2 linked regions of the Drosophila melanogaster genome follow. Changing the gene in region 2 together with the main gene of any one other region gives a genetic interaction. Each region holds a gene or a part of one and is shown on either strand. Other genes may lie near its edges.

Region 1 (5,433 bases), on a different chromosome or scaffold from region 2:
AGGAGATTCTAGCCGAGATCTTCTCCGCCAAAGCCAAGCACCAGTTGTATGGTGACTTCAAGGAGATGAGCCAGGTGAAGAACCCCGCCTTCTACATTCACCTGATCGAAAAGCCACAGGTTTAGATTTAAGTTTTTAGTTGTATTCACATAAGGCCACAAGACACATCCATATAAATATACATAAAGTTCCTTCGATTCGCACAGTCTCGAGTCTCCTCAGTTTTCTTCTAAACCATTATGCAGAATCGACCCACGATGGAGCCAAAGCACAGGGTCACCATGGCGGCCTCGATCACGAACGGGAATTTGGCCTTCACGTAGTTGAACATCCCGGTGTAGATGTTCGACAGGGCAGCCAGTAGTATCAACGTCATCTCTCGTCCGCCGAACTTCGCTTTAGACTGTCACTAAAACGCAATAGCTATCGAAACCCTCAATTCTTGGGGCGAGTGTCATTAGCCTTGCAAATGCTTTTCCATTACGTTTTCAATGGGTTCTGCTTTGCAGAGAAAATGAGTAACGATCGAAATGCGATACTTTAAAAACCAAATACTAGAAAAATTTGTGGTATTCTAATAACAGTGGAGCTGAAAGTTGGAAAACTATGTTACAGCAGTACTACAATACTTTGTATTTCCGAATTATGATGTATGAAGTCTACTATTATTATTCATTATTTTATTCTTATTATTATTTTATTACTATTATTTTACTTTTTGAACTATAATCCGGAAAATGGGACAGTACGTCAAGAATAGATTTTACTGTAGTAGACTTTGTAGCACAATACCCATGGGTATCAAATGTTTTTGTGTCTTCATGAAGGATCGTCTAGCAGAAAACGCTGACGTATGCTCATTAAAGTGTCATCGAATACAAAAAACAGAAGCCAGCTAACGAAAATAGGACTTAATTGACATGTTTATTAAAAATACGTTTTAGTTCTACGCAACGGCTTTACTATCACGAAAACGTGGTGAAATCTTAAGAGCGTGCTTCCCAATCCGAATTTAGATGCCAACGATTTTATTAATGCGCTTGACGTCGGTGATCTGGCGATCGATCTCCCCGGTTAGCTGGGTAAGTATCTCGGTGATAGTGCGGTGCTGTTTCTCCGGCAGCTCGTACGCGTTCTTCTTGAGGTCCTCTTGACTCTGGGCAATGTGGTAGCGCTGCTTGTTAAACGTCTTCTTAGCAGTCTCCAGTCCAGCGGCCAGGCTCTGGGTGACCTTATTAAGTCGAATCACCTCCTGCGAAAACTCCCGTTCCGCAATCACACTATTGGGTAGTGAGGCATTGGCCCTCTGCATCAGAGCGTTGCACTTGCGGACGAGCAGCTCCTGGTTGTAGCTAATCTCCTCGAAGCGCTCGGCAAGCTTGTGGGCCCGCTCGCTGATCAGTTCGCGTTCCTGCTCCAGGTCTTGGATCTCCTGCAGCTGTTGTTCCTTCTTCAGCTGGATCTGGTTGATGTGGCGTGTAAATGCGGCGCGCACAAGGTCATGTCGTTTAAGGTACTGCTCACGAAGCACCTCGATTGCCTGGTTAAGCAGTTCGAAGCTCTCCTGGGCGGATGGCGAGGAAAGTTTATCCGCCAAGATGGGCTGGTTAACACTACGTTGCAAAAGCGATTTAATCGTATCGACAAACGGTGGCCCACTTTCCTGCTGAGACACTTCCGAGTCAACTGGCTTATTCTCATTAGGTGTAACCAACAGCTGGGCATCAATTACCAGCTTAAGGCTAATCACCTGACCGCTGCCCAGCAGTAGAACTATACCGGCAGGAATTTGTAATAGGGCAAGTCCAAAGACTGCGTTCACCGTCTCACTGGAATCGAATTTTGTGCACAGAATGTACTCTGCACTTGCAGAGACCGCCAGCTCTAGACGATCTTCATCGGACTCGCTTTCCAAGTAACGTTGCAGCTCTGCGATAAAGCTGACCGTAACGGCATGAAGTCCTGCGTTGTGGTAGGCAAAGTAGCGAAGCTCATTGATCAAATCCCGCTTTAAGTATATGGGACAGTTGCCTCCTTCTTTTCCAGTTGCGGGTGCAGATATTCCCAGCTCAAGTTCGACAGTTTCTAGTACATGTACAACGTATTCGGCGGGTTCAATCAACACAGAGTCGTCAACCTCATTGAAAGAATGCTCAGTGGCCTCCGCCTCCATAAGCAGAGCATGGTGAAGCTTTCCATTGGATTCAGCTATAACAATGGTCGGCGGAAGTGATGGGATAATCATTAGGGCACAGGACTCCAGTCCATAATTGTCATGTGCCTGTGGCGTTATGGTAACGGGGCCCTGCAGGCGCGTATTCTCCGAATCCACGCCGGTCATCAAAATGTAGATGTTTCCATTCTCGCGGAGCACAACCATGGGCCACTCTATCCTCTCCTGTTTCGGCAGCGATTTGGCCGCCACAAGGGTTTTGTTGCTCTTATCCAAAGTGGTTTCGTTATTGCCGGCTGTTTCTGGTTCAGTGACACGTGGTTTTGCAGCAGGAGCGATGTCAAAGTCAACGGCTAGCTCGCCAAAGTCGCATAGCGAGTTATTGGCCCCACTTCGAAGCACCGGGGGACCCACCTGCCACACGTGGCGCAACTTGGAGTGATTGTACACTCGAATCGTGTTGTTGTTGAGCAGCACGAGCAGCGTGGAGTCTGACACGGAGTGCGGATGCCAGCGGACCTGGCGCACTTCCAAGTGCGGGTTTTTTAGGAAAAGCTGAGTGTCCAGGCCGAACGTGCGGCAGGTGATCACTGGCTTGCCATCCTTGTAGTATCCATCGGGGCCCCAGCGGCGGGGCAGCTCCATTATGACAACGCCGCGCGGTCCACTTAGTGCCACGAGGGAGCCCTCGTTGGAGGCCAGCACGCGGTCCACCTCCAGGCTCACCAAGCTCGATGGAATCAGTGTCTGGAACTGGATATTCACCTTTGCCGCCAGCGATGAGCGCCAGTTGCGAACCAACAGACAGCTGTCCTTCGCGTGCCAGGCAAAGAGCAGATCGTCCTTGCAGTCCAGCAGGTTCTGAGTCCTTTGCACCACGGGCAACCCATTGCGAATCTTCGCGAACAACTCCGTTTTGTTCAATTCCAAGACATCGGTGAGCGACATCGTTTGTTTATGCTTCAATTCGTTGCCCGGCTTGTAAGTCAATGCTAGTGTGATAGTAGTCTTCGGAAATCCGCAAAGTATTTTTTTTTAGTATTTTTTTAATTCGAATTCATGAAACAAGAAATTTGTTAAAAAAACGCTAACACCAACATTTTCGGAAAATGTACTAATAATTATTGCTGCTTAAACTTTTCAACGAAAGACGTTAGCATAAATCATGCTATAAATTTAAAAAATGGAATAATTGATTAATAGTTAATAAAAGATTATAAAAGGTAGATGTTATTATTTTTTAATATTGGTATAATTCACAGAACCCATTAATTCAACAACTTTTAATAATCTATTTAAAATCACTAAGTGCTATAAACATTTAAGTTCTCTTTTGGAGCTCCAACAGTGGCACAGATTTCAACTTCATCGTAATATCTTCAACAAAGTATAGATTTTCGAAGGGAAAACTCGTTTTAAACCTATAATTCCGCAATAACTTGGCTAATGTAACTTTCGCCGATATTAAGGCATATCTCCAACCTAAACAGAAGGAAATAATAAGAATATAGCTAAAACAATGGTCATAAATTAGCGATCACTCTGTTACCTATGCAATTTCGAATGCCCTTGGTAAAAGGTATATAGGCGTACGGATGCTTGTCCTGGATGTTGTGGGGGAGGAAATGATCTGGGTTGAAGGTCTCCGCATCCGGACCCCAGATCTTTTTGCTTCTGTGCATGTGATAAATGTCGATGGCGATCTGGACCCCTTTGGGAACCACTATACCATTGGACAGCTTCAGATCCTGAGACGTTTGTCGGGATACGACAGGAACAGGGGGTATTACTCTCATGGATTCGTTGAGGATCAGGTCAAGGTACACCATCTGCTGGGTGTCCGCGTAGGATACATCAAAGTCTCCTGTGTTTGGGAATATCGTCTTTATTTCCTCAAAGGCCCTCTCCTGGTATTCCGGAAACATCGCCAGCAACATCAGGGTGTAGTACACTGCATTAGCCGTGGTCTCAAAAGCTCCAAAAACGATGATATTCGACTCATCCTCAACATTCTTCAGGGTAAACACTCCTCGTCTCATCAAATCCGTGACCAGATTTAGAAATAGGTTTTTATCATTGGACTGGATGGAAGGTAGTGCTCCCATTTCGTCCTCGGCCAACTTTCTCTCAATTATCTAAAGGGGTTAAGAGATTCGTAAGTGAATAAGCGGAGGGAGTAGTTGGAGGTGCTCACCTTCCGAATAAACTGACGAATCTCAGTTTTGGCCTGGTAGTAGTGCGATTCCTTTCCAGCCAGCTGCCGGCAAAATCGGCTATTGAGCCACGGAGAGAAGCACATATCTGTCATGGTTTCCAGGATGCTATTAATGGATAGATGCATTCCGATTCCAAGTCAAAACTCACCATTGGTATCGCCCCAGCAAGGAATTGCTCCTGAAGCTCTCTTCATCCTTTACATCGCTGCCCATGGTGGTTTCTGCTTTCATATAAGTATATCATATATTTAATATCAGATCGACTCTTCTAACTGAATTATGCATTCTGGCTTTCGACCACTTTGTATGCAAACAACAAACGTGATAGCCATAATTTATGAGTCTTTTTTTAAACAAACAACACATTCTTCTTTACTCACGGGTGGCAATTCCCAGGGTGAAGCTCTGCAGCAGTGGAATGAGATCCTTCTCGCCGTCATCCTGCAGTGGTTCGAGTTGATCGAGCAGAAGGGCCGTCTCCCGGTTGAAAATGGGCAGGAAGCTGAGTAGCACCTTGTGGCCGAAGGCGGGATTCAGCAGCTTCCGATGGATGCTCCAGCGGGGATCTACACAAATCCACACTTAAGTAACTCCCACACTCGATTCCATAGACACACACCCTTCAGGCTGAATAATCCAACTCCGGCGCCATCGTCCACTGCCTTGTAAATAATGCCCTTGTTGACGCAGTGGGGAGATGTGAAGATATCCTGCACCACTTGGGGATCACTCACAATCATAAAGGGAATGGGCCCCAGCCAGGAGAAAATTGTCGGACCGTGCTTGTCGAGAAAGCAGCCGAATGCGTTGAGGATATCTGCGCACGGACACTCAGATTATTACTCCCGACCAACACAACAAACATCACAACATCCAAAGCACCTTCCCTGCGCATCAGCCAGTGAGCCATGCCCAAAATGGGATATCCAAGTGGTCCCGGTATCTTTAGCGTTAGCAGATAAAATCTGCGCCTGCTCCACAGAAAGTAGATCCAGAGCAGGAACAGCAGTCCACACCACAGCGTCCAGGTCAGCATGCTTAATC
Region 2 (8,373 bases):
CCAAGTAGCCAAAATAGAGTCAATTTGAAGGCAAACCCTCGCTGTGTTAAAGGAGGCTATGCTGAGGAGTTCCGTAAAGTCCTCAAAAAAGTAAGAATGGATCAGCGTCAACTTAAAAACCATGCAGCCACTCACACGGCTAAAATTTTGTCTGTTACAAACCAGTATGGTGTTACCATTGCCCTAGTGGCTTCCGATAATGGACGTAGTTTCAATATTCTTCCTCCAAAAGGAGAAACCACACAACTTACAGTTGGATCTATAGTACAATTTTTTCTGGATCCAAGGATAAAGCCCTTAGAGCTAAACAAGAAACAACTGGTCTATTGTCGCCCATACAATGTTGTAATAAAAGGATAAGGACATATTGTATATTTAAAATATATAAATAGTATTTGTAAGGACGGAATTGTAAGTCATTAAAGCCATATTAGTATGTAGCATATACATATAAGATTTGTCAAAAATTACGCTTAACTTTAGAAAAGGAGTTGTACCCTATTGTTCGTTAAATATAATGTCATTTAAAAAAAAACATTATTTCATGGAAAAGTAGTAACAAAAATCAGTCTTTAGGCTTAGAAAGAAATATCGTATCACCAACATACTGACTTCTCCTGGAGTATATTAGCATGGATGCGTTGCGCAAGGAATCTGTAAATACAATACTGATTTTAAAACCTTGTCATCAAAGTAAATAATTATAATCGCACCTCATTGCGTGCGAGGGCACCGCTGCCACAAACAACAAGAATATGACATTGCCCAGCTCATCCATATGGGCATAGCACTTGTGGTAGTCCGAGCAGCTATATTGGTCCACTAACGTAGTTTTATTGCTGGACGACTGGGTTTCAAATTGGTGGACTGCATCCATAGTTTGATCGAAAAACTTCTTTAGAATGTCCAAGCGCTGTAGATCGCCCACAATGATGCGCTTGACACTCGCCGACTGGTTTAGATTTCTGGTAAAGAGACTTTTTCGCGTGTGTCGGTTAATTAGAATGATGGCCAGCACATTTCCATCGATCTCCAGATGCTCGGGCAGACTGCGCGGCACGCATCGCTCGGCGGCTGCCAAAAGGTTGCCTTCATTCCGGTAGGCACTCATGGCATGTGCATGCAACTCTCGGAACGAGGCATTCTCAGCGCCACACAGGACACACAGAGCACTGTTCGACGCCACAGGAATACTGACAAAGCGGTAGGCTATATGGGGACTTTTCACGGGCAAATAGACCGGCACATCGTGTTGCATTGTGCTCGACGAATTCAACAGAAACAGCAGCAGCTCGCGGTCCCGAGTGTCCAGATCCCACCAGCCCTCAGTGGCCACAGCGATACGGTGTCCCACAACCAGGCAGCAAAAGAGCGAGCCACAGTGGCCACTAAATTCATTTAGACACTGCAGCAGCTGGGCGTTTTCCGCCGCCAGCAGACAGTCCGTGTAGCCCAGGAGTTGTGTACCCGCACAGGCGGCTTCCAGAATAGCGTCAACAATCGGGACATACTTCTTGGCGTCCTTCTTCAGTCTATCGAGGAGCGTTGCATGTGCCATTTCTGCGGCCCGGGTAATGAACATGCCTATCGCTCCAAAGACAAGATCAGCCAGCGTCTGAAGCAGTTGCTCCGACCCAACACCGCAGCCGCACACGATCAGGGTGATGGATTCCCGGTCGCGCCATATGTAAGTCCACTCCTCGGCATCCGCGGGAGCCTGATTCTGGATAGGCTGCTGTTTGCTGGTCGTCGTGGCCTCCAGTTGGATTCCCAGCGACTTAAAGAACATGTGAAAGCCGTTTAAGGAGGCCACCGTCGAGAAGGGCAGCTGGATATGGAGAAAGGGTATTAACTAAGTGAATAGGTAGGCAATATGTTACTCTTACATTTTCGCATTCTCCCTTCTTTCGTGTAAACACTGGCAATCCGCCGTTTGTTGTCAAACATAACAAATAGATGGACATCGCAGCTCTTCTTCTTCGCCGAACCTGCTACGTATGATGCTTACATCGATTAAATCGATTCGTTTTGAATTATCGAAAATAAGCGATGCACTAGTAAATTAATATGATTTATTTTAAACTTTTATCTGAATTACTTGCATACTTTTAGTGTTTTAATGTAATAAATCAGTAAGATGCAGTATTTTGTAGCTGATTCAGGAGAACAGATCAAATTCAAATATATTTATGTCAATTTATGCATGCATGCATACTGGTTTGTTTTTCCATTAAATTAAACAGATAATATTTTTTTGTATTTTTTTTTAAAACATCGCTGCTTAAAACATCGATGTTTTTCGATATCAGGGACATCGATGTTTCTGGCAGTAAGTAAGCCAACAAACTAAGCATCTTCATCCATGCCATTTGATTATTTTATTCGATCAACGTTATCGATCACTTTGCGTGCATGCCTGTAGACCAGGGCTGTGGACGTATGTTTGTTCAGCACCATACGGGCACACTGTTCTCACAAATTGCATTTCGCATTGTCCGTCGTCGTCGTTTTCACACGCTGCTCTTTTCTGGAATCGGTAAAAGGTAAGCTTGATATGTGAATTACATGTTCATGATTGTTAATTAATTACACACTGCGTCCTCGCTGGCGCGTTTTGAAAAGCTAAGAAAATTTGGGAAATGCCGCCGCAGTCTTGTCGCATTTGCGGCGGCGATGCGTTCGCCTGTGCCAGTGTGTGCGTATGTGTGGTGTGCCGAGCGCTTGTATGTGTGCGAGTGCGAAAAAGTGTAGCGCGCGCAGGCAACAGCGTGCGCTTGTAGTTGTGTGTTCCAAAAAAATGAAACAAGAAAACAAAAAAGAAATATGGTTGCCTGTCGACAGGCGTAAAAGTACGCAATATGTATAACCAACGGTCTTATTTCCACAGCTTCAGGTCCAGTCCCGGCACCAGATCCAGATCCCGATCCAGATCGAGAGTCGCCGCTCCTCACCGTCATCATAGTGCGAAGAAGAAGAAGCTGAAGCAGAAGCCGCCGCGCACTTTCGATAAATAAAGTGGAAAAAAAAAACAGCAAAAACAAGAAATCCAAAGGGAAAAAACGTGAGATCCGAGCTCATCCGGCGGAGGAGGAAGCCAAGAAGCTATCAAAATTAACGCGGACACAACTGCAGAGCGACGCCGACGCGAACGCCGCTTCTACTACAAAGCGATGGCGACAATGTTGACATCGGACGAGGCGGGCAAGCTGCTCGACTTCTCCCAGAAGCTGGACATTAATCTGCTGGACAAGATCGTCGAGGTTGTGTACACAGCGCAGGGCGAGCAGTTGCGTCTAGCCCAGAGCATACTGACCACGCTGAAGGAGCATCCAGAGGCATGGACGCGGGTGGACAGCATATTGGAGTACTCACAGAACCAGCGGACCAAGTTTTATGCTCTGCAAATCCTCGAGGAGGTCATCAAAACGCGCTGGAAGGTCCTGCCGCGCAACCAGTGCGAGGGAATCAAGAAGTATGTGGTCAGTCTTATCATCAAGACCTCGTCGGATCCCATTGTTATGGAGCAGAACAAAGTGTATCTGAATAAGCTAAACATGATTCTGGTCCACATTCTAAAGCGCGAATGGCCACGCAACTGGGAGACATTCATCAGTGACATTGTCGGTGCGTCGAAAACGAACGAGAGCCTGTGCATGAACAACATGGTAATCCTGAAGAACCTTAGTGAGGAGGTGTTCGACTTTTCGCAGGGTCAGATCACGCAGACTAAGGCCAAGCACCTGAAAGACACCATGTGCTCGGAGTTCTCTCAGATCTTTACACTATGCTCCTTCGTGCTGGAGAACTCGATGAATGCCGCCCTAATCCATGTCACGCTGGAGACTCTGCTGAGGTTCCTTAACTGGATACCGCTGGGCTACATCTTTGAAACGCAGCAAATTGAAACGCTGATATTCAAATTCCTTAGCGTACCCATGTTCCGCAATGTGACCCTGAAGTGTCTGTCCGAGATCGCCGGCCTGACTGCGGCAAACTACGACGAGAATTTCGCGACGCTCTTCAAGGACACGATGGTTCAGTTGGAACAGATAGTCGGCCAGAATATGAACATGAACCATGTGTTTAAGCATGGTTCCGACACAGAGCAGGAGCTGGTCCTTAATTTGGCCATGTTCCTGTGCACCTTCCTCAAGGAGCACGGCAAACTGGTGGAGGATGCCAAGTATGTGGACTACCTGAATCAGGCGCTCATGTATTTGGTGATGATTAGCGAGGTGGAGGACGTGGAAGTATTCAAGATCTGTCTGGAATACTGGAACAGCCTTGTGGAGGATCTATACAATTCGGAATTCTTCCACCCCACCCTGGAGTCTACAAAGAGGCAACAAGTGTATCCCCGTCGACGTTTCTACGCCCCCATCCTGTCCAAAGTGCGATTCATTATGATCTCGCGCATGGCCAAGCCGGAGGAGGTGCTGGTGGTGGAGAACGAAAACGGGGAAGTGGTGCGCGAGTTCATGAAGGACACAAACTCAATAAACCTGTACAAGAACATGCGCGAAACGCTGGTCTTTCTTACCCATTTGGACTCTGTGGACACGGACCGCATCATGACGCTAAAGCTGCTTAATCAGGTGAACGGATCGGAATTCTCTTGGAAGAACCTGAACACGTTGTGCTGGGCCATTGGTTCCATATCCGGTGAGCCATTTTTGGTGTTTTATTCCCAGTCTGTACTTGGTTTTTATAAATCACAAACATTCATTCCTGATTATCATGGACCACCATTATTTCCGAGTATAACCCTATTTTTTTTTGTGCTTTTATCACTCTTCAGGTGCTTTTTGTGAAGAGGACGAAAAACGGTTCCTGGTCACCGTGATCAAGGATCTATTAGGCCTGTGCGAACAGAAGAAGGGCAAGGACAACAAGGCCATTATTGCCTCCAATATCATGTATGTGGTGGGACAGTATCCACGCTTCCTGCGCGCCCATTGGAAGTTCCTCAAGACGGTGGTAAACAAACTCTTCGAATTTATGCACGAAACGCACGATGGTGTCCAGGATATGGCATGCGATACGTTCATCAAGATAGCCATCAAATGCCGCCGCTACTTTGTCACCATCCAGCCGAATGAGGCATGCACCTTTATTGACGAGATTCTCACAACAATGAGCAGCATCATTTGTGATCTGCAGCCGCAGCAGGTAGTGGCTTTTTTTAATTACAATATTATTATACCTACATTTGAAGCTTAATCAGTAAAAGCTATACTAATGTATAAATTCATTTGTAGGTTCACACGTTCTATGAAGCTGTCGGCTACATGATCTCCGCCCAGGTGGATCAGGTACAACAGGACGTCCTCATCGAGAGGTACATGCAACTGCCCAACCAGGTGTGGGATGACATCATCTCCCGCGCCTCGAAAAACGTTGACTTCTTGAAGAACATGACCGCTGTCAAGCAGCTGGGCAGCATCCTTAAAACGAATGTGGCTGCCTGCAAAGCCCTGGGTCACGCGTATGTCATTCAACTGGGCCGCATATATCTGGACATGCTGAATGTGTACAAGATAACATCAGAGAATATCATTCAGGCCATCGAGGTGAATGGCGTCAATGTGAACAATCAGCCCCTGATCAAAACCATGCATGTGGTCAAGAAGGAGACGCTTAACTTGATATCCGAGTGGGTGTCTCGTTCCAACGACAATCAGTTGGTGATGGACAATTTCATACCGCCTTTGCTGGACGCTATACTGCTAGATTATCAGGTAACTTTCAAAACTCACAATGAATACATAATACATTAATACTAATGTTATTTTTCCTTATTTTGTAGCGCTGCAAAGTTCCATCGGCACGGGAGCCCAAGGTTTTAAGTGCGATGGCAATCATTGTGCATAAACTGCGTCAGCATATCACAAATGAAGTACCAAAAATATTTGACGCCGTCTTCGAGTGCACGCTGGACATGATCAACAAGAACTTTGAAGATTTCCCACAGCACAGACTTAGTTTCTACGAGCTACTGCAGGCGGTCAATGCGCACTGCTTTAAGGCGTTCCTTAATATACCGCCGGCTCAGTTCAAACTGGTCTTCGACTCGGTGGTGTGGGCATTCAAGCATACCATGCGGAATGTGGCCGACATGGGATTGAATATCCTATTTAAGGTACATTCACTAATTAAACTTGCTTATCGGTTTTTTTTGTTTATTAACGGGTATTTTCAATTTCAGATGCTTCAAAACTTAGATCAGCATCCCGGTGCGGCGCAGAGCTTCTATCAGACGTACTTTACAGATATTCTAATGCAGATATTTTCGGTGGTCACTGACACCTCACACACGGCCGGGTTGCCCAATCATGCCATCATTCTGGCGTACATGTTCTCACTGGTGGAGAACAGGAAGATTACGGTGAACCTGGGTCCGATTCCGGATAATATGATATTCATACAGGAATATGTCGCGTCGCTGCTGAAATCGGCATTTACCCATCTGTCCGATAATCAGGTCAAAGTCTTTGTCACTGGCTTATTCAATTTAGACGAGAATGTGCAAGCATTTAAGGAGCATTTGAGAGATTTTCTCATACAGATTCGCGTGAGTATTTATCAAATGATGGCCATTAAAGCTGGCCAACTGCTAGTAAATATCATTTACCTTAATGTATATAAATTGAATTGCAGGAGGCCACCGGCGAGGACGATTCCGATCTGTACTTGGAAGAGCGTGAAGCGGCTCTGGCCGAGGAGCAGTCAAATAAACATCAGATGCAGCGTAATATTCCAGGAATGTTGAATCCGCACGAGTTGCCCGAGGATATGCAGGACGAATAGATGTCGATGTCGATGTCGATGTCACTGAGCTAGAATGTTTTAGTTGATGCTTGAGAATGATAAAAGGATGGTGATGTATGAGTGTTTCTCGAGCGAGAAAGTATAAATGTTTGTTTGATTGAATGCATATAAGTACGTTATATATATAAATACATCCACACAAGACCCACAACACTTGCATACACACACATACACATACACCTATACAGATATAGCTGCGTTAAAAGGTGAATGAGTAAATGGTTATTCGTGCGCAATTACATACATTAATATGATTAACATATTTTTGCGCATTGTCCTCGACATACCAGCATAAATAAGATGCCCAGCCAGTTCCCAACTCCCGCTCCCCTATCCACATTATATAGTTGTAAAACGTCATAATAATACTACACGCAACCGATACGAAAGATGCAAACTTTATTGTACTAATATAAAATAATGTTTGTTTGGAATTTTTTAAATGAGTAATTGTAGAAAGATCCGAGTATGAATGAATATTTGAACAAACACAAACACACCTCTCAGAGAAACCCACACAAAAATGAGCAAAGGAAACAAGAATATTAAGATGAAGAAAACCTTAAAGTAAAAATTTAATTGTAGTGACTTAAACAGATCAGATGCTGGCAGGAGTAAACAAAATTGTATGCAATCTTTTTGCATAAATCTAGCATTAACCCGACGTTGAAGACGATGGACGCCGCAATAAGGAGACGATCAAGAAAGCACGGCATCATAACCAGAATAGAGTTCATGCAATGTGTGAAAAAAAAAGAAAACTAAAACGCAAATACCCAAAACACAAATACATCAAGAAAAACAAAAGTAACCATAGAAATGCGTATTAAATCGTTTAAATTTTTACATAATTAGTTTGTACATTAATTTAAATAAAAATCAATTAAAACTACATTGATGTATGATGCAAAGCCACATTTAAGTTTCAATTGTAACGATTTTGATAGTAATATAGTGTACGTATCTAATCTCGTGGAATTTCGCAATTGATTGAAACATTATTGGATTGATGCCAATCAATTTTGAAAGTTTGGTGGGATATCTGTATATCTGAAATGTTTTCGTTTAATCCTTGAGCAACTAGTGTCAAAAGATTTTTATTTCGAATATTTAAAGTCAATTTTAGAGAAAAGTTTATTAAACGTTTGTTGTGGCAGTTGTATTGAACTATAGGTAGATACAATTATTTAGGTCCCGCTTTTTGAGGCACTGATAATCTGTTGTTATGTAGAAAGAGCGTGTCCTTAGAGTAGCCCTTCCAGGTTTCGAAAATGTCCTGGGAAATAAGCCAGGTGTTGCCAACTGGCGTCACGGGATAAACGTCGTCTTTGTTGCTAAAAGGCAGCTCGATTTCGTGCGAGACTTTCAGCTTGAAAGCGGTACCATTAAAGGGTCGTCCAGCATGGAGAGCCACTGTCACATCTTCCAGGAAGAGTCTCCACCGAGGCCTATAGTAGTCGCTCACCAAGCCGGACCACTGTTTGCACGCATAGTCCAGGATCTGACCATCAGGACCCCAGGCGGTAATTTGGTTTCTCGCATTGA

What was found.
Region 1: of emb (region 2) and mbo, changing one suppresses a phenotype caused by changing the other (phenotypic suppression), as found in Drosophila melanogaster (one study listed by BioGRID).

The regions. Positions count from the first base shown.
Region 1 is NT_033777.3:12,675,881-12,681,313, forward strand, and holds mbo (members only), read right to left. Parts: upstream 3,173-5,433; 5' UTR 3,122-3,172; coding exon 1,013-3,121; 3' UTR 607-1,012; downstream 1-606. Other genes in the region: Gnmt (glycine N-methyltransferase), read left to right, coding at 1-125; CG43630 (uncharacterized protein), read right to left, coding at 230-376; Cyp313a4 (cytochrome P450 313a4), read right to left, coding at 3,495-3,655, 3,723-4,308, 4,368-4,494, 4,538-4,610, 4,770-4,955, 5,009-5,206, 5,272-5,425.
Region 2 is NT_033779.5:8,401,118-8,409,490, forward strand, and holds emb (embargoed), read left to right. Parts: upstream 1-2,455; 5' UTR 2,456-2,543; intron 2,544-2,590; exon of another isoform or gene 2,591-2,807; intron 2,808-2,887; 5' UTR 2,888-3,170; coding exon 3,171-4,662; intron 4,663-4,798; coding exon 4,799-5,169; intron 5,170-5,258; coding exon 5,259-5,738; intron 5,739-5,806; coding exon 5,807-6,139; intron 6,140-6,205; coding exon 6,206-6,571; intron 6,572-6,657; coding exon 6,658-6,807; 3' UTR 6,808-7,736; downstream 7,737-8,373. Other genes in the region: CG31898 (uncharacterized protein), read left to right, coding at 1-360; fy (fuzzy), read right to left, coding at 597-654, 714-1,828, 1,887-1,964; Naglu (N-acetyl-alpha-glucosaminidase), read right to left, coding at 8,012-8,373. UniProt on the Drosophila melanogaster protein: Receptor for the leucine-rich nuclear export signal (NES). Binds cooperatively to the NES on its target protein and to the small GTPase Ran in its active GTP-bound form.